Linked DNA regions of Mytilus edulis. The protein of the gene in region 1 purifies or fractionates together with the protein of each later gene. This does not show direct contact. Links are inferred from orthologs where the notes say so. Each region holds a gene or a part of one and is shown in the gene's direction. Other genes may lie near its edges.

Region 1 (6,987 bases):
AGTATGATGTATACAAGCTGAAGCCCCGCCTATCTTAATTGCCATGCTTGAGCAAACATTGATACAAACAAAGCAAGCAAGCCAAACAAAGATTTGTCTTGCTAGCATTAATGTAAAAGCTGTAAATATATTTTATCTGGGAACAGCTAGTATATATATATTTATATGTTCCTTCCTGATTTTATTTCAAACAATAAAATCTATAAATGAATTGAACATAGTTTAAAATGGTTTTACAGTTACTGAATTAAGAGATAACTGTATTGTATTTGAAGCTTTAAGGACGTCCATCGGTAGTTTTACTGTCGCAAATTTAGTTTACCTGGTCCCTACACTAGGTGACGTCATAGGTATGCTTCCGGCGTCAAACATAAACACCGGGCGTCTTCTGGCTTCTGTGCCGCTTCAGAATGTAATAAAATTTGATAAAAAGAAGATTTTTAGGCGCAACAAGTGAGTTTTTTGTTTATTATTGTAGAAATAACATGTCAATACATTCCGAAATTCAAAATGTCGGCTTCCTTAGTTACAGACAAGGAGATAGAGAATTTTACGCTTGCTGTTATCCAATCAGAACAATTGTTGCAAAATAATTGCATTAGAATAATTAATGACACGTTTCAAACGAATGTAGGACAGAAAGTCACAGGACAAAAAGTCACAGACAAAAAGTCACAGGACAAAAAGTCACAATTCATTTTTTCTGATTATTTTCTTTGAATAAAAAACCCTTATTTCTACAAAAATATTTTTGTATTTTTCTTGAACTATTGTATATAAACCAACTTTGTAAACAAAATTTATCAAAAAAATATTTAAGATGATCAAATAATTATTAAAAAAACATAGTGTCAAAGTTGCTTTGCACTTAAATGGCTTCATGGTGCCAAGAAATATATCTTTTGCATGATTAAAATTAAATAAATCTTCATTTTTCAAGTATAATGACACATTTCCTCAACTTTAGTATGAATATATGTATTAAAAAGTAAATATTTCAAGATATTCTCTTATACAGTTGGAAAGCAGGTCACGGTTTGACCCCAAGTTTATCAGCAACAATAGAGTCACGTGACCGTGAAAATTCAGTAAAAAAACGGTTGAGACAAACCTCATTTTAACTCACTAAATACTATTGTCGTAATAAAAACTTATTGACCTAACTAATCTTGAGTATCCATAGTTTATTCTCGTCAAAGCTCACACATCAAATCAAAGTCCTTTATTCTTTATTTTATCTGCAAACTTGGAGTTTGGGTGAAAATTGTCAAGTCTCCTGAACGAAAAATCTAAATATTTACGAGGAAACTAAAAATGATGGGCTGAATTTAAATTTAATAAAGCATCTCATTAAGACAAACACTCGATATGAATATCTCGGCAATAGAATGTTGGATACGCAAACGTCAAATTGATTTCAAACCGAAGCGGTGGTTTTTATGCCGATTTGTGCAAGTGGTTATCTCCCCTTAATATCACCAGTCAAAAATAAAAACCCATCAAAATGCATAAAAAATAAAAAAAAAAGTTTACTTTACAAAAATTAGAAAGAAAATAAACTAAACTCGATTTATAACTATGTTATGATAATATAAAGAAGAGATACTTCCCCCTATTTTTCAGAGAAGGACTAATTAAATGTAAAATTTATATTAAATTTATATTAAAAGGCAAAATATTACTGCAGTAAAAAAAATAACAATTCAGAAATGTGGATAATGACACCTACATGTAAAATTAAAAACCTAGCTATACTGAAAGAAATTAGATCTGGCGGATGAAAATATATACTTCATGATGCAGAATTTTTTGATTATATTTAATGCAATAAAACATAGTTTATACAATTTCAATAATCTTTGTGAAAATTGATATAATTATCAAATAAATAGTATTGATCATATATATTTTATATTCTATAAAGTGTGACCAAGAGTCTCAACAAATTTCTTCAAATTAAGAGAGCCTTTAAACTCAAGCCTATGTTTCTTAGTTGAACAATAAAATACAAAAAAGGGATTTATAAGTTTCATACCAAAAATATTGACAGAAGTTCTGTAAAAAAAATATATGCTTTAAATTATACAGTAAGTGAAAGTGACACAATTTTGAATTTCAGAATCATTATTATTGTAAAATTAAACTATTAGATTAGCTTGCACAGTAGCCCTTTGTCTTATTTCTCAGGGTATTTTATAGATTATGAAAGTAAACTTTTTGGAAAAAATGGGGCTTCTTCTCTTGAACAGGTTGCTGTATCAGCTTCTTTAAATAATTACATATTTATAAACAAAGTATTGTATATATACTTTACCTGAATACTAGTAATAGGAAATGAAATGAAACTGGTGGGACAGATTTTGTGCATTTTACTTCAATAATGATCAAAGATGCTTAAATTTGACAAGAATTTGCCATTTGAATAAATTCAATTTTGTAACAACACATCTCTATGAATAAACTTCTTGTTTGGCTGACTTGGCTTGATAAGCTAGTTTTTGCTCTTATTACTATAAAATTGAGAATGGAAATATAGCTTACTAAGTAAAGAGATAATAATATAAGCAAGATTTTATTAACTGACCTTCATTTTCTTTTTTCATATGTTTTTTTCCCACAAAATTTTCTTTGCAATGCATTTTCTATTGCTATTTTTGTGCTTTTGTCCATCCATAGAGTAGGCTATCAATAATTTGTCAGATCTGTCAGAATTTTCCAAGACGTTTAGCTTTAAACGCAATAAAGAAGATCTTTGTTTGTTGTTTCACTTTTCCAATGTGTAAATTTTTACTATGCACATGACCCTGACACATATTTTGTTATAAACGTTATGTGACGTATGTTGAAAAAAGAAAACAATGTCACCGTCAATTTATGTAGGGGATCAAAAGGGGTTTTAGTTACTTTAAAATACAAGTATCGTATGGAATTGTGAAAATCCACAACTTTTAATCAAAATTTCATTCATGTCTTTAATAAAATCAGTATTTTAGAGCACTTTGAAACAGGTACAATGAAAAGAAGCTAAACTTTACTGTTTTGAAGTAGAAACGTAGCTAAAACCAGATAAAAATTGACATGGCTGGTGGTCACTAAAATTGATGTATAAAAGTAAAAAATGATGGCTTCAAAACAGTGTATAAATTTGAAATAGGTTTCCCGGTTTCATTTAAGATTATAACCGTTCTTTTCTGTATTTGGATATGCAAACGTCAAATTAGGAAAAATCATTTTTTTTTGGCGAACAAAAAGATGGCTAATTTTTTTTAGAACTGACAGGATAAAGGAATAGCAATAACAAGCTATTTTTTGTAATGTTTGTATGTCGTAAAGAAATTATATTGGTCACAAAACCTACAAATTTTAAAATTTAATTGTAATAAAAGCATGACAAGTTGCAAAAAATACTTTAAACGTCAATCTTTTAGCCGATTGATTTGGCGGACTTTTTGACGTTACGGACGACTGTAGCGCCACCTAATTAATTCCCCCTGCTATTGTTGCTGATAGAGCTTGACGACAACGGCCGTATCGAAGGACTTGCTTTCCAACTGATATAGGCCTATTTAAACAATTGTCAACAAATTATTTGTGACTTTTTGTCCTGTGACTTTTTGTCCTATCAAATTTGTGACTTTATGTCCTGTGACTTTTTGTCCTGTGACTTTCTGTCCGTTTACCGTTTCAAACATGCACTGTGAAACACAATTAAACTTATTAAGACCTGTGCTCCAGTTTCCACTTTTGACAGATTCATATTTCCCACATGTCGCTACAATCAATAACAAAAAGTGTTAACTGCAGTGTTTCTGTATTCGCTTTGATGATACTTTAATAGAATATCTTATTCAAAATATTTAAAAGTAATGATTATTGACAAAAAATATCCGTTCAGTGCTGCTTTTCGTAATATTTTTTGGGGATGTAAGGACTTCGGAATTTGGGATTCACCGACATGCGCACAAAATCAAAACAGTCTGTTAATTTCCGTTTGATGTTCCTTTGATGTTTTTGGCGATACACATTTTGTACTATGCTTGTCCAATGTTTAATGCAAAGATTAGGAAACAAAAATGAATGCAGCATTTGATTTTATATTTTGGCATGTGACATTTTGATTCCTCAATAATGGCTGGAAGAACTCAGCAGCAAGCTGATCGTACAAGACGAAAAAGAAGTCGAACTCTGCCACCCGTGTATACCGGAATAAGTGGGTCATTTGAGGACAAAGACAATGATTTTGTTTGGTAAGACAGTGATCGCATTTATTATTTGCTCTGCATTGTTTCTTTATCGACAGCTTATTTTTTTCGCCGCGTGTTCAAAAGTTATAATGTACAGCGGAGAAATTATGGATTTGTCGTCTGCACTCCCACGCATTTTCAAATAGAAATCACCAATGCAGCAATTTGACTTTATGCAATGTATCATCTTTTTTGAATCTATCTGTCATGTTGAAATTTTAAATACAACTGGCAATACAATACAAAAATGATAGCCTGACATGTTATGAATTCCAAAATTTTGCAAATCACTTAAAAGTGGACTGCTGATCTTTGGAACAGTTAACATGTTTTAACATTACACCATGTACAACATGTACAATGACATCTTTAATTTCCAATTTTGAGTCCCTGTTGGACATATAGTAAAATAATATTAAAGAATGGAACAAAGGCAAAAAGATAATATATATATTATAAACCAAAAATATATATTTTTAATCATTAACAATATTGTTAAACCAGGCATGCGCCGGAAAGTAATCATCAACCAGTTGATGTTTTTCTGTATATAAAGAAGAAGTATATAAAATGAAAAAGTAGCAATACTGTATATATCAAAGGAATTGAAAGTCATCTGATGCCACCAAATTGAATGTCACAAAATTTGCATATTGAAGCTTCAATATTCCAGTATCATTAAGTGATTACAGGAAATATTATTTTTTTCCAATGCATTATTTGGATTGTAATGTTTTTCTTTTAAGTCTTATTTCTTGTGTTGTACTAACACCTTACATGCCTTAAGCATGATATAAAGAATGATAAGCAAAAGGCTTTCCAGGCATTCAGTAACAAAACTTATAGTAATTGTTGCCCTTTACTAACATTTTGTATGACAAGAATAGTTTTTAGATAATACACTTGTAAATACTTATTTTCTTTGTGAAAGGTTGGCTCACAACAATATGTTCAGTCAAATAAATCTTATCATGTTGAAGCATTTAAAATCTTCATCACAAAACAACTAAATTCAAACATAATGGAGGAGAGGTTAGGGCCTGTATGCACATCAAAGGCATGGCAGGATTATCAGGTTGTTGACTGGTCATTATCTTATATTGTTATCAGTGGCGGATGCAGAAATTTTCATAAGTGGGGCCCACTGACTGCCTAAGTGGGGGTCCGCTTCGGTCAAGCTTCAGTGATTTCCTTTATAATCAACCAATTTTTTTCCAGAAAAGGAGGGCCTGGGCAAGGGATTATTGTACCTGTGAAAGGGGAAAAATAAGTCTAAGTTGTTTCCTTGCAATAATTGAAAACAGTTTGATAAATGCTTTTTAAACTACTAGTACTGGTACATGTACATTGTATCTTTGATAGGATGACGGTCAAGGGTATCAGGTCCGTTCGCGCCCAATATAGTTTCGCACCCCACACGTTCGCACCTCACATTTTCGCCCCCCACGTCCGTTCGCACCCTACATGTTCGCGCCCAATTTTTAATAAAATTTAAGTGAAATTGTTCGAAATTATTCATATGAATATAATTTGAGAATTTATTGAATAATTTTTTTTTTTTATCGATCTGATGATTAATTATTAAATGTTGATTATGTATGATTATTGCTAATTGGTATTTATAAACAGCCCAATTTGGTGTTATTGTTTACTGTTGTTTATAAAAAATCATGATTGTTGTTTTAAATTGCTTTGATGTAAATACTAATAAAATAAATATTAATCATAGCAATACACTTACCATGCATACCAGTTGTTCAACATGTTGTCAGATTCGCACTTAATTGACTAGAAACAGTGAAAAACAAATTATTTCAATACACTAACCAAAACACGATTAAGTATTATTCAATACACAAATGAAATAGTTGTTGCCAGAATAACATAATCAGACTTAAAAACAAGGACTTTTTTTTTATAAACTTGTCATGACACAAAAAAACTTGTCAGTATCTCGAATTATTTAGAAACAATGGCATATATATTTATACCAATACACTTCCAAAAAATCGGTAAAATTGGGTGCGAACGTGTGGGGTGCGAACGAACTTTTCGCAAAATTTGGGTGCGAACATGTGGGGTGCGAAAGTGAATGGGGGCGAATGTGGAAGGGTGCGAACGTGATTGGGCGCGAACAGACCCGGATTCAGGGTCAAGTTTGATATTTATGATTTTCTCTTGTGCTGTACGTACTGAAGTAATTATATACATGTATATGGTCCTTAATTCAATGATTGTTTGTCAATAACTTGAGAATGGTTCAACCAATGCTTACCAAAATTTAAAATGTTTTTTATTAATACACAATGTTTGATACTTGGTTGGTCGTTGATTGGTTGGGAAATGTCACTTTTTGTTTAATTTTATGCAATAAATTGCGAATGTTTGATCCATCATCTTTGTCAAATTTCAATATAGTGTTTCTTTTATTAACATAATGGAGATCAGGATTTATTTTGAAATTTTTTACTATTCAGTATTGCAGTTTATGATCAGGAGTTATTGCTCCTTATAACCATTCTAAATTTCAATATGTTATTTCTTTTAACAGAATTCAGATTCAAATTTATTTAGAAATTTTTCACTATTCAATATTGCAGTTCATGATCATGAGTTATTTCTCCTTCATTGTGTCCTTATAGCCATGTTAACCATTTAATTTTAATGCAGTTAAAAAATGGAAAAATGTAAGAAAAACCCTGTTTGCTGTTATTTGTATCAAACTGGTGAAAATAATTGTCTA
Region 2 (7,301 bases), about 1.9 Mb from region 1:
GGGAGTCTTAGAACTTCATGTCCTTTCTTTTTCAAAAATTCATCAACCTTGTATACAGGGTCAATTTTTTTGGATTTAATAATTTCATATATCTTGGGTTTGGTTTTTTTCATGTCAAATTCAACACCAAGTTTATTTAAAAAGTCAATCATGTCACCTTTTCTGGAATTAGATGTGGGAGGTTTTGTACCCTCGACACGCACACTATGATATGACGCATTGTCCATTACTATTAGACTTTGTTTTGGCAAAGCTGGAACTAATTGTTTTTCTATCCATTGTTCAAAAATTTTGCTGTTCATCTCCGTATGGTAATCTCGTCCGTCCGTACTGATACCCTTAAAAACTAAATCACATCCCTTTAAAAAACCCTTTTCACACCCAGCATGCAAAACAACGAATCTTTGACCTTTACCTAGGGGTATTTTTCTGTTTTTTGCATCTTCTGAACTAGTCCATTGATGGGAAGTTGTATGGTTGGTATCAACCCAAGTTTCATCCAAATAAATAACAGTATAACCTTCTTCACGCTTTTTCCTAATTGTCCTAAGATATTGTATGCGTTGGTTAACACTGTCCTTTCTTTCAACTAAACCTTTTCTGTTTTTATCCACTCTCTTATATCTAAAGCCTTACTCATGCAGAGTTTTCCATAACTTGTATTTTGATAAACTAATTTCATGATTTTTTTCCAAAAGTTGTTTTAATTTTTTTAATGTCACACATTGATTTTTCCTAAATAAATTATGCACAGTAGTTTTTATCAGATCTTTGTCAAACTGATCAATTTTGTCCTTTTTAGTTGACACACTTTTTGACTTCAAGATTTCTTCTGAACCAAGCATTTTTTTTATAAAGCTTTCACTAACTTTCAAACAGTGGGCAGTTCTTTTTGTGGTATTATGCCATGCATGAAATGGAGCTCCCCGCTTTGACTCGGCAAGAAAATAGTTGAACACTTTCAGAATTATATCCTTTTTTTCTTTAGAAATTTTTGGAGGCATGTTAATTCCTTTCTTTTATATTCATAAGTAAGGGAGAAAATGCATAATTTAAAAACAATATTAAAAAAGGCCTCTTTAAATAATAAAGGTATTTTGGGTTATATGTTATCTAATTTTATTTTCATTTTTGAAAGTCATAATTTAGCTGGTTTTTTTTTCAAGAAAAAGGTAAATATCAGATATATTCTGTAAATAATTATTAGTAAAACTTTTTAGAGCCTCTCCATTTTGTTACTACTGTCACCATGCTTAAAGCATGAAAAGCTTGCTTAATTTCTTTCAGAAGGTATAAATTTATAATCAAATTAAGGTTACAATAAAAGTTTAGAAAGGAAAAAAAATACAACATATGTTTATAACATTTTTTCCACTAATAACATCTTTGTAGATAAATGTAAGTTCATTTATAAAATCATAAAAAAAACTTAGATGATGGTCATTTTTCATAACATGTATAGTGCCTTTAATATTCAAATGAGTAAAGTCACATGGTACAATGAAACAGGTTTAAAGCACATGTCTTATGTTTTTGTTTTGAATGGAAGGCTGTTACACTACTCATACTTACTCCATTGAGTATTTAATATTAAAAACAATAGAAGTAACATAGAGACCTAATGAGTAACTTTTTTGATTTTTGGTTCAAAATTATGTTATTCATAGTCAGAGTTCGTATATATCATACATTAACATACATGAAGAAAAAAAATATTTATTTGTAAAAATGAACTTTTAAGATTCATTTTCTGAAGATTTATAGAAATCAAACGGACTATATCAAACTAACATCAACTCTATTGTACACATTTAATTTTCTTGTTAACTTTGAAACTAAAATCACGAAAAGAAAACAATTTTATTCGTACAAATTCCACTGTTTAAAAGTTTCAATGTAGTTATGGCTAATAAATGATTGTGTTGATGTCGAGTGCCAATGCGACTTCAGGGCGGATTAATGAAAAACTTGGGGCACCCGACAGCAAAACTAATCGTACATCAAAAGACATGATTGAAGTTTTTGTCGAGTTTAAATTCAGTTGTATATACAAACTTACAACATCACTGAAGTTACAGATAAAATTAAATGGTATTGAAATTAGCAGACGATCATTTACAAAGTAACTTTTACTTGTCTTCGTCAATGTTACGTGTGCTTAAATGAAAGTCAAATAATGACATAAGTATCAGTGCATGATGATCGTAAATTTAAAAAAATACACTCCAAATTAGAGACTTTACATGATCGGAGTGATGTTAATGTTTATTGTCAAGAATAGAATTTTTAATATATTTTTTAATGAAAGCTAAAAGTAAACTCATAAATTCATCATAGATACCAGGACTAAATTTTATATTGTTTATATATACGCCAGACGCGCGTTTCGTCTACAAAAGACTTATCAGTGACGCTTGAATCCAAAAACGTAAAAAAGCCAAATAAAGTACGAAGTTGAAGAGCATTGAGATCCAAAATTCCTAAAAGTGTTGCCAAATACGACTAAGGTAATATATACCTGAGGAAGAAAAGCCTTAGTATTTCAAAAAATTCAAAATTTTGTAAACAGTTAATTTATAAATATAACAATATCAATGATAATTGATGTCAGCACAACTGGGCTTGTGATACCCTCGGGGAAATAAATCTCCGCCAGCAGTGGCTTGAACGAATATTGATCAGCCTCGTGATATTATACCTATCTTAGCAAAGTTAATCCATTCTTTAAATGCACATTTTTTTTTTATAAATAATCAACATTTCGTAGTATTTTATAGTATGATTTGATATTTTTGTCTTGTGAAGCTCATGATTTGAAGAAAGACATAACCATGGCTTAAAAATAAAAAAACGATGAAAATACATATAACAGTCTACATAACACTCAATAAAAAAACTGAAGTCTTGTTATTACCCAACCTAAATACGGGTGATCTCACGTGCTCCGTTAGAGTAATCAGATCCTGCTTCATATTTGCTACCCATCGTATTGCCCAGTTAAAATCTTTAAGAACGTAAAACTTGAAACTTAAATCTTCAATCAAACTGAGTTGTTGTAAAATGGTATATTAATATTTATAATAAAAAGATTTAGAAATATGTAGATGATTTTCCTATTTTTTTAAATATCTTATAATTCAATTTTAAATTGTGTTGTTTTTATTGCAGCCTCAATGAATTAAGGCGTAAAATATAATTCTGACTCGTGGCAGTTTGAGTAACACTCCTCCATGGTTTTGGCAAGATTTATTTGATGCAACACACGTTCATTAAGAACATTATTATTCATATGCTTAAAAATTATACTTTTTTACATTTTTTTTCTTATTCTCTTATCAGATAATATTGTCTGTATTCATAGTAAAACGTATGATTAAAAGTAGTTTTCTGGAAGAAACCCTGTCATCTTACCTTTAAATGGTTAAGACAAATCTGTCAAACTTCTAAATATTACTATATTATCCCACTTGTCACGCTTCATTTTGTTGTTTATTGATTATCATTACAGAAAATGATGATTGTATTTGCAACTGTTGTCCGATAAAATTGAATGCATTCTCATATTGACAATAGACAATGCAAAATGTGTGCATTAATTGTGAGGTTTTAATACCTTTTTATTTATTCTCTTTTCTTTGTAGAAAAAAATATGTTTAAAAAGGTAATACGAATTTAAAACAGAGTAAAAAGACAATTGTCTGTTAGTATTATAATTCATATAATTCGGCAAAAAAGGCGTAAAACGCATTTAAAAAGGGAGGAATAGTTAAAATTTTACATTTTATTTATCTATTCAGATATTTTGAAACGTGACAATTACACTCTAATAATGTTAAAAAATAAAGTTAAATAAATATAAAAACGAACAAAATCAAAATGACAGGCTATTCTGTTTAAGTAAAATAAAAACAAAAGCTTCGATTCAACTGAAAAAGAGAAATGCAGTTATAATGGGACACTGCTTCACAGTAATGGTATGAAGAGATTTGATAACATTTGATAACATTTGCAAAATATCAGAAGTTATTTATACGTTTTAAAATTAAGATCAAAATTCAAGAAACTGCTACCTTGCTTCAACTGAAGCATGTAGATCATATCTGTTCTAAACCGTAATGTTTAATTAGTGATTTAAGCATATTTTTCTTCAATACCAGATTTTCTTGCCAGAGATTTGTCGTCTGGATCTTCCCCACGTGCATAGATGTAAACAGCCAATCAAAAAGAAGCTCTTCTAAGATGGAGATGTAAGGCCCTTGTTTTTCAAAGTTTGAATCAGTTATTGATAAGTTGACGTATTTCATTACTAGAAGATTATACTGCAGATATCCTGAGGATTATTAATCGGACACAATTACCTAATAAACAGATTCTAAGGTAAGAAACATTTTCAGAAATTATCTTATTGATATAATAATTAGAATAATGATTTTTTTCTTTATTCTCAATGTATAATTTTTATCATTATTATAATTATTATTATCTTTTTTATTATTATTATTATAATTATTGTCATTATTATTATAACTACTATTTTTTTTACTTTTTATAACAGCTTGATGGTTACTACTTGTTTATTTCACATTAGTAAATTAGTAAATTTCACACGTAAAATATCTTTTTTACTTTTTTTTAATGTATATTTGAGGTAAATCTTTTATTTTATTTTAAATAAATCTGTATTTTTAATTCTGATTTTCTAAACATTAGAAATACATATTTTATGTTGCCACAATTGTTTATGTGACTGGTATATATTGTACAGGTAATTAATGATAAAAAACAAAATTATAAGTGTATTCAGAAGATGAAATAGTAGAGTATTACATGGTTCTATTTTAAAATAATCAAAAATGTGTGAAATAAACTGAAACATATCCTTCAATGTGAATTTACTGATTGCTAGTACCTTGCTGAGTAGGATATAATTCAATGTCATTAACATTCATCACAATCATTATGAAAATAGGATTTCATTATTCTTCACATCTATGATCTTTCCTATTTATAAAATTTCTCCGGCAATATTTAACTATACACAAAATCATTTTCCATTATAGAATGTTCAATATAACTCAAAATAAATATTCAAATTAAATATTCAGTAAATGTTAAGAATAATTGTAAAATATGTTTTTAATGTTATAAACTGTTTTCTAGCTGAAATAATATTTATAATTAAAAGAAAGGGAAAATGAAAACAGTAAACTTATTAATGAATCGGCATACTTTGTGAAAGTGACATTGTGTACAAATATTTAATAGTTAAAAAAAACCAGATACATTCTTAAGTTGTGAATACACCATATCAATTTGTTAATTATCCATCAATTGTTAAAGTAAAGGTATGATGCTGATTTTTATGCACATAACACGTGTTTGTTGGAATAATTTTCACCAGGTTCGCGCAAGACCATTATGTTTTAAGTTTCTAAATATCTCATTCAACGAAGAAGATTGTAATCTGGTTTCTTCTGTTTCACATTGTGTCCTTCATTTCTTTCCCTGTTTTAGATTCATTTATTTTATGTGTTATGCATATGAACAAAAACCTTTTCTACCGTTTTAAGTTATAAAAAGAATATACTAATGCATTGAACGGTTTCTTGCTTATTCTGTCAAAAGTGATTTAGGAAAGGCAATAACATTTTGAACATAAACGAACATGTCCATGAGAACAATAACTGCAACATATTTTTACAAATCAAAATCGTCAACTTCAACTTGACACTTTATCTTAACATACTCAAGGTAAACTATGATTGTGTGCGTGTATCGGTAGTATATCCTTGACTTTCAAATGTTTGGGGGTAAGCATTGCTAATGAAAATATTATTTTCATTGTACATATTTCGCGGTATGCCGAAAACCATGTCTTGACAATTGAATGTGTTTGCATAGTTAAAATGTTAAACCATCGAATTGCCATTTGTCTTATTAGTTGTTAGGTGTTTGTTTTTCATTTTTCATTTTTTTTTTCATCTTTATTTTTTGGTTTTTATTTTATCTTAATTTTACCTAAATATATATCTAAAATCATGATTGATTAAAGTGCATTCAGCAGATGAAATAAAATTCATTAATATCATAACCACCAAACAATCTGAGGTAAGGTGCTTCTTCTACTTCAGTGTGATATTATATTAATTTTGACACCACACAAAATAATGAAAATGGGACATTACATTGGTTTACTAGATATCCTGCTTATTTGTGATTTGATACAACCGAATAAACATCATAAAACAATCGTGGTTTACATACGAAAATCCTTAATCCTTAACAAACCAGTTTAGACATAAAAAAAACCCAAACTGCGATAAAACCATCGTAGATTAAAAAACATTCACCCGAGGTATAATACACCAAACGGTTTCATCACAAAGTATAATCATTTATCTCTAGAGTGGTAGGATTCAAGTCTGATCCAGGAACAAATGACTCCAAACAATGGGACAAACATTAACTGGAGGAAGAAAAAATATCGCTTCAAATAAAACAAGCAATGAGAGGCATCGTTCGGGAGGAAAAAATCGTATCTGCAGAAAAGTCAGAAACATAAAATCCAACTTAAACAGACTGTTTGTCATAAATGAAATCATCATTTTAAGAACCAATACAGAAGTCAAGCATTCCATTTAGAAAAACAAGCATGAAAACAAAATATGACGATAACAAGCGAAACAAGTCTCTATTTTTGGAGTACTAATCTCAGGGTAAACTTGTGATTTAAACATCCGTGAGCTTTACTCTTGGCAAGTTTTTATTCGGTATTTTATTTGGATAAGACATATTGAGAAAACGATAAATAAAAAAGTCCTTAATGAAATCGCAAAATCAAAAGCTCAAACACATCAAACGAATGGATAGCAACTGTCATATTCCTGACTTGGTATAGACATTTTCTTATGTAGAATATGGTGGATTGAACCGGGTTCATAGTTTTTAAAAAGACGGTTTTTTTTTGTTAAGTTTGTGTGTATTTTCCTTCAAAAAGAGTTTGTTTAAAGTATTTTCTCCACGATTTTCTTTGTTTACAAATAATACTGATATTATTGTTGTAGACATTATTCACTAAATTACAAACCAAATGATACTGATATTATTGGTAAAGACATTATTCACCAGAAACAAAATGATATGTTATTATCCCAACTAGAAGGAAGACCAATTTTCCTGGATTTATTTCACTTAATAAACCGACTGTGAATATGCTGTGAATTTGCCAATGAACGCTCAATTTAGGGTATTGGAAGTCAATTATTACAACACCAAAATACTCCCAAACCTATTCATTACTG
Region 3 (7,994 bases), on another chromosome or scaffold:
ATTTCAGAGTTCGAACCCTACACGTGGTAGCTTGGTTCGACTCCAATCTTAAGTGACTAGGATTGACAGTTTCCCTGCCGAAAGTCAGTGGTTCTCTCCGGGCGTCTCAGCTTTCTACACTCAAAACAGCTGGGCGCCATGAAATAGCAGATAATGATAAAAGTGTCATTAAAGACCAACAATGAATACACCAATCATTGTACATCAGATCATAGTTTTGTTGAAACACGAATCTATTTATTTGAAATTGAACTTGACAATAGCAATTTTTCCCGCATCGTATAACGATGAATCCGGATAACACTGTAATATGTGCCGCTGGACATGAAAAAGCGTAACCTTTAATAATTTTAAATAATGAATTTTAAAGCAGAACTGTTTAAAATTAATGTCAGATGTTTAAGGGGAAACCAATAATTAATAAGAAGATATTGAAGATTTTTAAGATTTCCAAGGATAAGGGAACATAAAAGGGTACTGTCATTAAAGGTTGGTGTGTCCATCATATTACATATGTGGCAACCTTTTGTTTAAGTTTTATCTCAAATTAAACTTTTCAAAGTTATTCAAGTTCCATTACTAACTTAAAGTCGACACCTTATAATGTAGAATATCTATTTTAAATAGAAAAGGGTGTTTTCTATGTCAAAAGATTGCAAAATTTTTGAGAATGAATAGAGCTGTCCCTATTCGAATGCAGCATTCGTTAACTCAGTAGACATGTCTTTGATAAGCAATACTTTGAACCACTGACAGGGTCTTTAAAGATCCAATGCGCAAAAATGACAAAAGTAAAGACAGAGTATTGTCCCTGCTAACCTGAAGAGTGTAGGTTTCAGCTCGAGAGTTCCCAGTGAAGACATTTTTTTTTGTTTCAGTTAAATAAAATTGAGGTACAGAAAATCAGATCATTTCGTCTTTTTCTATTTAGTTCTTTGAGTTGCTTTTTTGCTTTTCTTTACTTTAGTATGCATGACATGAAACTTTAAATTCATGTTCTAAAACAATATTTACGTGTGCATTGTGCTTCAATATGAAAATATGGGATAAACGTCAATGATACAGCCACCTAGTGACAGAAACAACCAAAAGACATGCATGCGCTCGGTTTGACGGTAAACCAGATATATGCGAGATAGCCCCACGGGAGAAAGGAAGAAAGAACCTTCACAATTTGCCTTACAATTGTTTTTCCCTTTCTTTTTTTTAAATAAATAATTAAAAAAAAAATTCTAATGTAGAGTTCCTAAGATAAAAATATTCCCTGTGAAAGAACCCGCCCCCCCCTTTTTTCGTCCTCTCCGATTTTAACTCTCACATTAAGCTTTCCAATCTAATTAAAATTAAAACCTTGCTTTCTAACCGATCTATCCTTGAACTGGACCGGCAACTTTCTTCATTTAATAAGAAAATATACAGTTGCGTTATAAAACATGCATGTTGTCTGCTTGGAGTCCACGCCCGAAAAGAGTAATCTTCTCTGTGTTCATAATATACATGAAATATTTGCCACTGCCCCTTGTCTGCTCTATAAATTCTTACCCTGAGTTTTCTATCTGTTACATGCCAAGAAATCCTCGCTAAAATTTCCGGTTGACCTCCTGCGGCACCTATTAGTAGTTAAAGATTGGATTTCATTCAACAAATTAATTTATGACCTGCATGTACATGTCGCTTAGAACACGGCCATATACCAAATGGTTAATAATAATCATCCATGTAATTTGCTCTATGTGATGTTTGCAAAATTTCAACGGAGGCAATTTCTTGGCATGGCGAATATATTTTGCCTCACTATTAAAAGAGGTTAGTTACGGCCCTGTGTCCTCTTGTAGGTTCACACTGTCTGCGTCTGATGCAATGGTCAGGTAAACTATGGTATCATCTGCAAAGAGTCTAACTAACACTTGAGCGAATACCTTCTGGCGTGTCATTTATGTATATGTTGAAGTCAAGAAAGAGATTTTCTGTATCTTTGTTAATATCCTTTAGTGATGATCATCATTTCTCTATAAAGATTGGTGGACTGATATATGCGTCCAAAAGTACAAACACTAAATGTCAAATTCTTCAGAGAAAAAACATCGTCTATATAGCGGCACGCTAGCTTCTTTTCATTATTTTCGTTTAGTTCTCCCTTTTAAGCTCCTGTATTACTTTATTTGTTTTATAGTGATTAAGATGATAACACAATGTTGACTGCTGCTCACCATTTTTGTTTACATTTTTACCTTTTGTGTCTGTTTGTTTTGTTCAAGCATCGTTGTCAATACAAGTGAGGGGTTTCGCTAGCTAAAAAAAAACCAAATTCAATCCACCATTTTCTACAAAGGACAATGCCTGTACCAAGTCAGGAATATGACAGTTGTTATTCATTGATTTGATGTGTGTGAGCTTTTGATTTTTCCATTTGACTAGAACTTTCCTTTTAGAATTTTCCTCGGAGTTCAGTATTTTTGTGATTTTACTTTTTATGATACGATGTTACATAGTATATGTCTCTGTTCAAAGGTAGCACAAATTATTCAATAAAAAATCAAGAACTTTGATGGTGTCAGTTTTAGAGAACATTTTGTTTTAATCAAAATTGGTGTTAACAAAGACGTATAACAATATATATGTCCTAGTTTTTAAAAATAAAGTGTGGGTTGCTTCTTTCTGAAATAAGATCAGTTATTATTTTGATGATTGAGTATCAAAAAATCTGAATTGCTTTTTGCAAAAGGCACTGAACACAAAATGTTTGAGTTGATCTTATTTTGTTTAATCGGAAATTCAGATTGCCATACTTTACATCTATAATCTACTCATGTACAATGCACAACCCTTCAAAATGTAATTATCAAAAAAGTAATGCACATTGTACAACAATTTTAAATTTAATTATGACAACTAGAAATGTAATGTACAACAATTCAACAATTCAAAATGTAATGTTCAACAATTCAAAATGTAATGTTCGACAATTCAAAATCTAATGTCCAACAATTCAAAATGTAATGTTCAACAATTCAAAATGTAATGTTCAACAATTCAAAATGTGATTATTAAACATGTTATGTACTAAAATTCATTTGTTATGTATCTATTGCCATACTTTACATCTATAATCTACTCATGTACAATGCACAACCCTTCAAAATGTAATTATCAAAAAAGTAATGCACATTGTACAACAATTTTAAATTTACTTATTACAACTAGAAATGTAATGTACAACAATTCAACAATTCAAAATATAATGTTCGACAATTCAAAATCTAATGTCCAACAATTCAAAATGTAATGTTCAACAATTCAAAATGTAATGTTCAACAATTCAAAATGTAATGTTCAACAATTCAAAATGTAAAGTTCAACAATTCAAAATGTAATTATTAAACATGTTATGTACTAAAATTCATTTGTTATGTATCTATTCAAAATGTAATGTACCATAATTTAAAATGTAAAATTGAGAATGGAAATGGGGAATGTGTCAAAGAGACAACAACCCGACCATAGAAAAAAAACACAACAGCAGAAGGTCACCAATAGGTCTTCAATGTAGCGAGAAATTCCCGCACCCGGAGGCGTTCTTCAGCTGGCCCCTAAACAAATATATACTAGTTCAGTGATAATGAACGCCATACTAATTTCCAAATTGTACACAAGAAACTAAAATTAAAATAATACAAGACTAACAAAGGCCAGAGGCTCCTGACTTGGGACAGGCGCAAAAATGCGGCGGGGTTAAACATGTTTGTGAGATCTCAACCCTCCCCCTATACCTCTAGCCAATGTAGAAAAGTAAACGCATAACAATACGCACATTAAAATTCAGTTCAAGAGAAGTTCGAGTCTGATGTCAGAAGATGTAACCAAAGAAAATAAACAAAATGACAATAATACATAAATAACAACAGACTACTAGCAGTTAACTGACATGCCAGCTCCAGACTTCAATTACACTTACTGAAAGATTATGATTTCCTCATATGCCCATCAGGCACAATCCTTCCTGTTAGGGGTTTAGTATCATACCATCATAACATATATGAGAAGAACATAACCCGTATCTATTTACCGAAATGTAATGTAATGTACCATAATCAAAAATGCAATTATTCAAATTGAAAATGTAATGTACCACAATTCAAAATGTTATGAACCACAATTCAAAATGTTATGTACCACAATTCAAAATGCAATGAACCACAATTCAAAATTTAACTTCAAATTTTGCATAAAACTAAGTCAAACATTCACATTTTTAACAAAACCAATTCTTTGACTTGAGTGTGTTTCTAAGTTTTGATCGCCGTTCAACAAGTGTTACCATTCTAGACATGAGCTGCAAATTAACTGACCTGTCGCATCCTTCCCACACATTTTGCAAAAGTACATTGTATTCTCCAGTTTTTCCAATTGAACAGTTTGCTGACAGATCTCCATGCTGATTTGAGTCACAGTACTTCGTTTTAAGACCAATGTTGATTGATCAAAACAAAATAAGGAGACAATCAAGTTCTTGTATATTTTCAGCAAGGTCTTCTGTGATCAAGAAATCTTCATTAACAGCTTCAGCACCAAACTCAATAACTTCTCAATTGTGCACTGGACCATATAGGTCCTTAGGGAAAGGACAAAAAAAATTGCCCTCCCTCTTTTTTTTTGTAAAAAATCTGTTATTTTTTCGTTTTCTATTAATTTCAATATTTCGCATTATTCTGTATTTTAAAACATAGATACACCGCAAATAGCTATACTCATAGCGTGTACGTATTTGCTATTTACTATCAATTCCAAGTTTACTATTATCAGAGACGTATATATGAGCTCAGCAATGGGTACCGTAAATGATTTTTCCTTCTTTTGCTCTGTGACGAACATTATTTGAATTTAATGTCAAAGGAAGGCGAAAGATATCAAAGAGACATTAAACTATTTTTTTTTTATTTATATATTCACACGGGATCGCGTGGTTGTATTTAGGTATATCTGGACAATTTTTAAAAACGTCTAGAAGACATTGACGAAAATATCACTTCCGGCTAGTTGCATTTGACAGCATGATATTGCAACACAAAATACAAGTAATTTACTAGCTATTATAGGTTGATGTCTTCATGTTCACACTTTAAAAGATACGGGAAGATAAAGAATTAAGGAAATGATCATGCTATTGTGGACAAGTTCATTTATATACATATTATCTATTTGATATTATTCCCAACTTTGTACTTAGTTTATATCTATAATTTTTTTACCCTATACTATAATGATCTATAATGATGTTACTATATTGAACATAATTTTATATGGTTCAATGAATCCAAAATACTCTATTTGGGCTCTTTAATATTTTCTCACCACTGGCTATTGGACAAACTACCTTACTTAATATTTGTTTTATCTGGTTCTATCTAGTTTAACAGTTCACCTATTGACTAGATATATTGTACTTTTTAACTATATTGTCAATGCAGAATAAGAAACACCAGAAACAACACTAAGAGCCGTAGCCAGCATTATAAGGAATTTACATTTAAGGTTTTTTCAAATTAGTTTATGGTAACAACATGACTAATTTATATCAAACTAGTTGAAATAATGGGACATGTTTTAGCGGGAACAGCAACTGGACGTTATAGATCAAATGTTGACGTCATTCGATTTATGACGTCACGCCAGGTATGCTATACGGGTTTTGCTATGTGTTACAGGGTAAGCGATACAGGTTTTGCTATGTGATACAGGGTATGCGATACAGTGTAGGTGATACAGACTTAAAAAAAGAACCTTTATTAGATATACAAAATTGCTGTATTTTGTACTTAATATATGATAAAATGATTTATTAACTGGTAGGGGACCATGTATTGCCATGCAATAAACCTAATCACTATTTATTCCATTCCAGATAAGTTCTAAAATAACACAACTTTTTCATCCAGTTGAAGCTATCTGGGACGCTGTTTAAACAATTCACCATGCATGCTTCTTTTTAATGAGACCTGTTTAAACTACCGTAAATACTTCAAACAAAAATATTTTTTTACTTTAATTTTAATTTCAAAAAAGTGGATCATACTCTATCAAAAATTCTTAATGATCGCTTTCTAAAGTTTTATCTCCCTTAGATCACTACTGATGATCATGACCTTTATTGAGGAAGTTGTATAAATGACTGCTTTTCCCAGATTGGATTAAATAGTGATAAGGTGTACATGTATACTCACAGAATGCTTATTTATTCATCCTTTTATTCTCAATCACATTTGATTACACATACATTTGTATGCTGGAATTAGTCTTCAAAATAATTTTTTGTAGTAATAAATAAATGAATGTACATGTAAAATGTATCTAGTTATGAATGAATGAATGAATACTTTATTGCAAAAAGCATATATATGCTATAGCAACGAAAAACATATTTACAACATGACAAATGATAAACAGCAGAGATCAATACATATAAATCATTACAAGAAAGCAAATAACATTAAGTAACAATATGTGATCTGATTGACCAAGCAGATTTAATGTAGTTACACAATCTTTTAATATGTAAAACAGACTTTAATTTAAATAGATACTGTAATTTAGTAAGGTTTGGCCAAGAACAATAGAATTTTGGCAAATATATAGGCCTAATTGATCTATAGGCAGGGCATACTAATAAAAAGTGATATTCGTTTTCAACACACTGCATATTACAACATTTACATAAACGTAATTCTCTAGCCATGCCAGTATATCTTCCTGTTTCAATGTTCAGTTTGAATGTACCACTTCGCAATTTAGTTAAAAAGTGTGAATTATAACAAAAATCTAAATAATGTTCAAACCTAAATTCTAACTTTATATCCTTATAAATACTAAGTTTTTCGCTCTTTTCTACATTTGATAACCAGCTTTGTATATACTGATCTTTAATTCTATTCTTAATTACATCAAAAAATCCAATAGTATGTATTTCTGATTGTTGATACCATATATAATTGAGACCACTATCAAATAGTAAGTCACGTACATTAGAAGCCCAGTTTTTTTTGCCATTATTGGCATCATCAAGTAACAATTTATAAACATCATAAACAATAGGTGTTTTGTTAGTTAACATATTCAACCAATATTTCAAAATTCTAAATTTTCTCATAATATACATAGGAAAATGGCCCAATTCTCCATATAAAAAACAATTTGGGACAGATTTGCCAACATTTAAAATATATCGACAGAAACGATTGTGAATAATCTCAACATCTTTACCTCGATTGAAACCCCATATTTCCGAAGCATAATTAAGAACAGATGCCACCATACTGTCAAATAGATCGAGTTGTTTCTTCTTTGACAAGTACAAATCTTTCACTGAGTTTAACAATGACGATAAAGCTCGTGATCCCTGTTGGGACACACGTTTCTGAGTCTGTACGAATTTTCCATTAAAATAAAGCATCATGCCAAGATATATACAGGAATTTACTATTTCTAACTCTTTGTTGTCGTAGAAGAATCTGGCACTTACTGGTTGCCATCCATTTCTAAATACTATAACTTTTGTTTTTTCAGTATTAACTTCAATGTTCCACTTATGACAGTATTTCAATAATTTATCTAAAAGTTCTTGCAATAATTCTGGTGATTTTCCAAACAAAACAGTGTCATCCGCAAAAAGAATAAGATATATAAGAATATTATTTACAGTAACGACATCATCCCGCATATCAATATGAATGTCCTCAATCAAGTCATTGATGAAGAATAAAAACAAAAGAGGCGACAAGGGCTCCCCTTGTTTTACCCCCATTAAATTATCGAACGAATCGGATAAAATACCACCTGATCTAACACGCATTTTAACAGAAGAATAGACAGATTTCACAATAGTAACAAATTTGGAGCTAATTCCACTTTTAAGGAGTTTATACATAAGTATTCTTCGGTCCAGCTTGTCAAACGCTTTGCGGAAATCTACGAATGAACAGTACAGTTTTTGCTTTTGT
Region 4 (7,717 bases), on another chromosome or scaffold:
TTTTGACTTTGTCAGTAGGGTGCTTAAAATATACAGATGTGGCAGGGTACTTACACATCTCTCAAGATAAAACAGTATTTTTTTTTTTAAATTATCTGAAATGAAAAAAAAAATAAAAATAGTCCTCGCCCCACATTTTTTTCACCTCCACCCCTTTAAAATTTGTTTAAATGAAATGATAGGACCGCAGTGGTTGAACCCTAAACAGTTGGTGCAAGTTTGAACACAATATTCAAGCTGGATACTGTTTGAATTTGTATTGAAATTTTGTTTTTACATAATATAGGTTTCTGACACCAAAAAAATGTGGTCAATGATCTTACAAATCTTCTTTCTTGTTGAAACTTTTCAAAAATTTGAAATATTTGGGGAAAAAATATGAACCCCTGGTCCTCAATTTTTTTTAGAGAGATCCATGCACATAAACACAAATTATAGTCTGGAAACTAGAAAAGTTGCTTGGTTTTTGCCCCTTTTTGGTCCCAATTTCCTGAACTATACGGACAATTACCCCCAAAACTCAATCACAGCCTTCCCTTTGTAATATGCAACCGTGTGGTACAATTTCAGAAAGATCCATCAATAACTAACAAGTTGATTTGCTTGGGGTCGTAGACAAAGTCTGAAAGGAAATATTTTACATAGGAAAATGTTGGCGCCAGAAATTTCGCCTGCAGCTGTATTTCGTCACAAGATGAAAAAAAACATCGCATATTACAACATTGGCAATGCACAGCGCGGTCACTGCACATAATTTGTACTTTTTTTTAATTGTCCATTACCCAGGAAACTTTTGTTTCCCCCCCTTAGACAATCCTAACCATCCCTGTGTGGTATGGAAACTTGTACATGCGGTGTAATTTTAGAGAATTCATACACTGCTCCACAAGTTATTGTCTGGAAACTAGGAAAAAGCTTATTTGGGCCCCTTTTTTCCTAAACAGTTAGGACCACAACTCCCAAAATCAATCCCAACCTTACTTTTGTGGTCATAAACCTTGTGTTTAATTTTCATAGATTTCTACATGTATGTTATTTTTTAGAAATAGAAATTTTATGAGTGTATAGGACTTCTGTTGTAATCTGTGGTAGGCAATGTTTACAAGTCCTTCTGGGTTTTTTTTCAGCCTGGAGTGACAGGACTAGTGATCCTGTCAAATCCTGAATGTGCAGTTTCAATTAATGCCCGTCATCAAAAACAGTTTAATTTGCGATCAGTCTATTTTTGTATCTCAGATAAAGGAAATGTCTGTACACATGTACAACAAACAGAACAAAATTTGTTTATTATCTTTTATTGAGAGCATAACAAAATAACATAAAACATCAGATATGGAACTTTTTATTAAAAATCAATAATGTGCATGTGGATCAAATCTTTTCATCTCCTGCAGAGATTCCTCTTCTTTTGACCTTGTTTGACCTGTGAATTTTAATGATGACTTCTAGACTAGGTATACGTACAAAAATGTATCATAACCTTGATAGAGCTATGGACTCATCCCATAAACCCTAATATACATACATGTTTTAATCAAGGAAAATGGATATTGTTTTGTATGCAAGATGAAAATACTGTAAACCAACTGATTTAATTGAATGATTAATTTCCCCCAGACTTTGGCAAGCAGAAAATATATGAACTTGGAAACTCACTAACATGATAATCATGGTTCTTTTTTACTGAAAAAAAATCTTATTATAATGATTACCTGTTACATGTGAATACTAGGGCTTGGACACAAAATAAAGCTGGTAATCTTTCTTTAATAACATAAAAATATCATTTCAGTGTACCAGAATTCTGACCAATATTTTAATATGAAATAGTGCTGCTGGTCATGACACATAAAATATTGTATTCCACAACAATTTAAGAATGGGGCAACCAAAATTAATACACTGCACTGGAATTACAAAAGTTCCTAATTTTTTTTAATTACACAATAGATAAATTGCTTCGCTGAGCGCAGCTGGATTCCATGGATGAGGTCCAACCCTGAACAGTTGGGGCAAAAATTACCACAATATAAGCACTTGATACAGGTCTAAATTTGGATTGTAATTAAATATTTTACACATAATACAAAATGTAGGTTTTAACACAGAATGACTGTAGTCAAAGAACTACATTTGAATTAATATTATTATTTTTGCTTTTGAGTAATTCATTTAATATGCTGTTACAAATAGACAATTTTCACAATCTACAAGCAATATCAGGGAGGTAATCTAAAAAATACACAGCATAGTGCTTTAATGAGATTGGATTACCTCCCTTAAACTGCTTTAAAATTGTCAATAGTGATCATTAGTCCATTAATCATCACACCCTTGTTTTCCCCCTTTTTTGCCCCCAATTCCTAAATAGTTTATGCCATAACCTCCCAATATTATTATCAATCCTACCCATCCCTTTGTGGTTTGGATACTTGTGGTATAATTGCACAAAGATCCATACACTTTAACACAAGTTACATGGGAATTGTCTGGAAACTACTAAAATGCTTATTTGGGTCCCTTTTTTGGCCCCCAATTCCTAAACTGTTTAGATCATACCCCGAAAATCATCCCAACCTTCCTTTGCGGTAATGAACATTGTGTATAAATTTCGTGGATTTCTATTTACTAATACTTATTGTCCAGAAACCCAACTGTCTTCAGACAACCACAAAATGATATCAATATATGACCGCAATTTCTTTTTGCAGTCGTATAAAAATAACTGATGCCACAATGAAAAAGTGATTGAAGTATCATGACACACACTGGCCTTTAAGTTCAGTGTTTGCATGGTGACTGTATTGTTAGTGTTACAGTTAGGGAGTTACATTATTCTGAGTATTGCATATCTCAAGTTTGTTCCAATTTGCAGCCTGTCATTTTGTAGGATACAATATTCTGGATGATTTTTAACTGCTCTATACAAAATACAGTTGTCTGCAATGAATGTGTTTTGATGTTACTTTTGCAGTTACATTTACAGGGGCTTGTACATGTTTAGTGGGTCAGACAAGGTTTTCCTGTCAATGGTGGCGGTACCTCAAATGACAGAATAACACTTGAAATTTTATATAAGCACATACCTATTGGTGACTTTTAAACATTGATTATGTAATAATATTATATTATCAGTGTATTTTATAACTTAAAATGATATGTAGAAAGCAGGTACGTTCATAAAGATCATTATAAATTTAGTGTGTACATCCAATAATAGTGACCAAGGCAAACACAATGGCTGCCATGTTGGATGCATGTACACACTATATTTAAAAACATCTTTATGAACTAACCTGCTTACTGTTAAATTATTGTTAAATAATCTGTTTTTTATAAGTCACCGATATGTTCTTATATATAAGTGTTATACGGTTATTACAAATGTTATTCGAATTATAGCGGTGTTATATTTTAGTCATTTAGGTTACCCGAATCATCGGGCAAATGGGGTGTAGAATCCTATTTAGGCTTTTATACACAGTGGAGAAGACTTCATTATGGGTGGAGTTCTTGTAGAGCGGTCTTAAATGCCCCTACAGAACCTGCATGCACAACTTTATCTGGTAGTTGGTTCCAAAGACATATTCAAAACAGGTGACAATCATATATATGATCTACTCAGATCTGTCTTAACCTAATACACCTCATCACTAATCCTGGCTGACCTGGCCGCTTGAACTTTTGATGCAAACAACAATCACTTTTCCATTGTGGCGTCAGATATTTTGTTTTATGACGTCAACATTTTACTGGAACTTGTGTGATATCCAGTAATGGCGGACAAATAGCGATTATCTGGAATAAAACAAGATCCTAACCAACTTGAACCATAACTTCAGGTCAGAAAGACAGGATGCTCATGTGAAACCCAACTCTGAACTACCATCAACGACTTCCTACAAGTACGTACACGACAAGGGACATCAAATCGACGTAGGCATCCATTAGGATTTCTCAAAAGCTTTTGATACAGTACCACACAACAAATTATTCCATAGGTTAGATCAATATGGAATCAATTTCAAAGGAAACACACACAAAATTATGGTTTATGAACTTCCTGCCAGATTAAAATGCGAACCATCGAGGAAGGCGAATCATCAGACGAAAAAACAATTGACTCTGATGTCCCTCAGGGCACCGTTTTATGACCAATCCTGTTCCTGTGCTACATATATGACCTCCCAGACAGCGTAACATCATCAGTAAGACAATTGTACAAAATTAATGTATTCAACTTTCGTTTCCTCAAATTATGCCCTTCTCGCGATCGGTCAACTATGTATTATAAGGAAGATCATCTTTATTTTGCAGTATACTGAATTTTCTAATGCAAAATATCTGACGTTATATTTAAATATAGGACTATACCATACCTCAGTATCGATGGTTGTTTAATTTGAGCTAGTGCGGTGTTCTTTGCAGCAAAGATCGATTCTTGGAAAAATGGCGATAGCGTGGGACTGAAGAATTTACCCGAATCGTCTCGGAAGTTTACATAGAGTTATGTAAAAAGCCTAGAAATATCCGAAGGGCGAATTATGGCGTTACCTCATTCATTCCAATATTTATAAAAAATACCATATTTAATTCTAGTTACAAACACATAATATTAACTTAAATAAAACTAGAAAAAAATGTATTATATGTCATAAAATTAAAAAAAATATATATGACAGAATATGGTAAAGAAATATTTCGGAACACCTCTTGAGTTTTCTTTCTAAAAAAATATGCAACAGAGCAGACTTGCATTTTTATTCAAAACTGACAAAAAGAAGACATTCCTATGCTGTTTTATTATCTTTTGCACCCTTCTTATGTGTAGGTTTTATTTTATGTAAGACTGACGAGTTAAGGATTATTCTATAATGACATATTTGTACAAGCATTCAAGCATTGATCAGTTATATCAAAAACAAAATTTCATGATGGCATAAATTATTTTTGCTGTAAATATAAAACAACATGACAAAATAAATCCTTTATTTTGATTGAACAGGAAACAGAAGAGCACCCTTCCATGTATTCTCTAAGAATTTGTAATTATAATAATTAAAAAATAATAATGGAGCCACCATTGGTCTTGATTTTTATTTAGGAGGGGGGAGGGTAGGATAAAAAAATGGCATCAGGTTCGTTTGCGCCCAATACACTTCCGCACCCTACACATTCGAACCTTGCAAGTTCGCACCCTACACGTTTGCACCCGATTTTAAATCAAATTCCAGTTGAATAATTAGAAAATTTTGATTGCTGTTTTAAATTGCTTTGATGTAAGTACATACATGACATAACTTGGTATAAGTAAAACATTGGACATTTTTAAATGAAAAAGACAAAAGATAATTGTTTTAACAGCTTGGATCCTTTGATCTGAAGCAATGAAACAAAAGTTATAGCAATACACTAACCAAAACATAATTAAAATTTATTCAACACAACAACAAAAGTTGTCAGAATCTCACTTCATTTTGAAGCAACGAAATAAAGTTATAGTAATACACTAACCAAAACATAATTAAAATTTATTCAACACAACAAAAAAGGTTGTCAGAATCTCACTTCATAATCATTTTGAAACAATGAAATAAAGTTATAGCAATACACTAACCAAAACTGGCATGATTAAGATTTATTCAACACAGAAAAAAACATCGTCTCGTCACTCATGAACTTTATTTTGAGACAATGACAACAAATATACTTACAGGAATACACTTTGTGTTTAACAATGTTGTCAAAACTTGATTACAATGTTGTTAAACACAAAACCAATAACAATTGGGTGAGAACGTGAAAGGGGGTGAACTTGAATGGGCGCGAACAGACCCGGAGTCAAAAAAAATATTGTCCTGTTTTTTTTTTATTTAAGTGTAACTTGGTCCTGCATTTTTATTTTTCACTCTATTGGGTCCTGACTATTTTTTACATTTATAAATTATGAATTGTCATCATGTCTTTTATGTTAAACTTTTAATTGAACTTAAAACTCCTGTCCTGTCTATTTTTTTTTCTTCAAATTTCATCCTAGACTCCTCCCCCTAAAAAATCAAAAGGTAGCTCCCTGATAATATTTTTTCTTATAGTTGTGGTCTGTTTATACATGTATAGATCTATTTCTTGCATTAAAAGATAATTCTTGTATCACACTCAGTCACTGCAGTGTACAGGGTATAAAAAAGAATATTTTTACTTGCCCTAACCTTACCTACCCAGAAAATAGCTGCCTACTCAAAATCTTTTATTGTCCTGCTGTGATTATTTTTTAATCAGATAGACATTAAGACTAAAAAACATCTAACACTTCAATTTCTCTTTGCCTTAAAATAAAAAAAGAAAAATGCCTACCTACCTAGCCCACTGTGTGTACCTTTGGATATGGTTTGGGCAAACCAATATATTTTTCAATTCTGGCCCAGAGAGTAAATTTTACGTTAAAAAGTCAAACGAAAATCTGCTTTAGTTTGATTGGCTTGTCAAGTATCACAAGATGATATAATACTTGTACAGCATTTCCTAGTCTATTGGCGATTCGTTGGGTCACTGATGACTTTCAAAGGTTAAGAAGATAAACATTTCATCCATGGCAACATACATCTATGTGACTTCTTCAATAATAAATTAAATACTCACACATTTCACCTGACAATTTTCTTTTTGTCATATTTTATTACATTCTGAAGCGAACATAAAGTCTTAAAATGTTGGATGTTAAATTATCTCCTCTGATACTCTCTGAATAACTATATACAAATAAATTCAGTCTTTTATGCAAAACAAATCATGAAAAACATACAGTTTTGTTTCATGAACATATTTTGTTCATGTTGTTAATCATACAAGACCAATATAGGGATTTTAGAATGAACTAGCTATACATGTATGCATAATATATAATTCACAGAGTAACCATGTAAACTCAAACTTCATATAGGCATGATAGATAAAAGCGTAATTGTTCAGGTCATAAAAAAGAAAGTAAAGAAGAGTAGCATGATTTTACCACTGTTTTTTTGGTGTAAACTAAAACTTCAAATGGAATAGGATCTTTAAAACATCTGTTTTAGGTATACAGATTAACACATTTGTCATAATTTGAGAAGATTATTCTGCATACAATGGGTTACACATTTTTGCTGTTATCTAGTATAAATAAAAAATATCCTTTAACCTAAGTCTTTGTTATATTTAGCAGCATTTCAATGAGTGCAACTTGCCTGACAGGAAATACCCACAAAAGTACTAATATACAAGTTTTAGCTTTCTTAAAAGCTGTGGACTGCTTCGCTCTATCCTAATTTTATGTAATTTGTGTGCATGTGGTATTTTTAGATAGTTGATTGATATAAATTAGATTTACTTTAAGAGTGTGCGTTATGAGTGTGCCTCTCTGGAGGGGTGTCTAGATTAGGAGAAGTTATAAAATACAGATTATGCTTTTTTGAAAACGTTGTATAGGAACATTGTTTACCAAAACAAATCGTGCATATTGCAGATTGACAAAGCAAATAAACATGTATTGATAATTGTTATTTCAATATTGAATTTCAGTGTGCAATACATGTATATGCATAGTAAAATGAACATGAATTAATGACAGATGATCGGAACTGATATACTCTTAGTTAGTTTTCAGGCTTTAAATGACTTATCCTGAATGAGAAAAGTCTGTAATTCTTTATCTCATTTAAACCAATGGCTGTTGCTGATT

Evidence for each region.
Region 2: the proteins of E3 ubiquitin-protein ligase COP1-like (region 1) and ETS translocation variant 1-like purify together in Homo sapiens (affinity purification with mass spectrometry; 4 studies listed by BioGRID and IntAct, counting the BioPlex papers as one, with this or other methods). This does not show direct contact. The link is inferred for Mytilus edulis from reciprocal best matches to the Homo sapiens genes COP1 and ETV1.
Region 3: the proteins of E3 ubiquitin-protein ligase COP1-like (region 1) and serine/threonine-protein kinase 40-like purify together in Homo sapiens (affinity purification with mass spectrometry; 3 studies listed by BioGRID and IntAct, counting the BioPlex papers as one, with this or other methods). This does not show direct contact. The link is inferred for Mytilus edulis from reciprocal best matches to the Homo sapiens genes COP1 and STK40.
Region 4: the proteins of E3 ubiquitin-protein ligase COP1-like (region 1) and DET1 homolog purify together in Homo sapiens (affinity purification with western blotting; 11 studies listed by BioGRID and IntAct, counting the BioPlex papers as one, with this or other methods). This does not show direct contact. The link is inferred for Mytilus edulis from reciprocal best matches to the Homo sapiens genes COP1 and DET1.

Annotation. Positions count from the first base shown.
Region 1 is NC_092345.1:8,285,231-8,292,217, reverse strand, and holds the start of E3 ubiquitin-protein ligase COP1-like, read left to right. Parts: upstream 1-3,979; 5' UTR 3,980-4,128; coding exon 4,129-4,247; intron 4,248-6,987. Other genes in the region: DNA repair protein XRCC2-like, read right to left, coding at 3,725-3,757. UniProt on the Homo sapiens protein: E3 ubiquitin-protein ligase that mediates ubiquitination and subsequent proteasomal degradation of target proteins.
Region 2 is NC_092345.1:6,349,681-6,356,981, reverse strand, and holds the start of ETS translocation variant 1-like, read left to right. Parts: upstream 1-4,290; 5' UTR 4,291-4,377; intron 4,378-7,301. UniProt on the Homo sapiens protein: Transcriptional activator that binds to DNA sequences containing the consensus pentanucleotide 5'-CGGA[AT]-3'. Required for olfactory dopaminergic neuron differentiation; may directly activate expression of tyrosine hydroxylase (TH).
Region 3 is NC_092353.1:43,069,614-43,077,607, forward strand, and holds the start of serine/threonine-protein kinase 40-like, read left to right. Parts: upstream 1-4,991; 5' UTR 4,992-5,075; intron 5,076-7,994. UniProt on the Homo sapiens protein: May be a negative regulator of NF-kappa-B and p53-mediated gene transcription.
Region 4 is NC_092347.1:48,045,418-48,053,134, reverse strand, and holds the start of DET1 homolog, read left to right. Parts: upstream 1-4,706; 5' UTR 4,707-4,827; exon of another isoform or gene 4,828-4,843; intron 4,844-7,717. UniProt on the Homo sapiens protein: Component of the E3 ubiquitin ligase DCX DET1-COP1 complex, which is required for ubiquitination and subsequent degradation of target proteins. The complex is involved in JUN ubiquitination and degradation.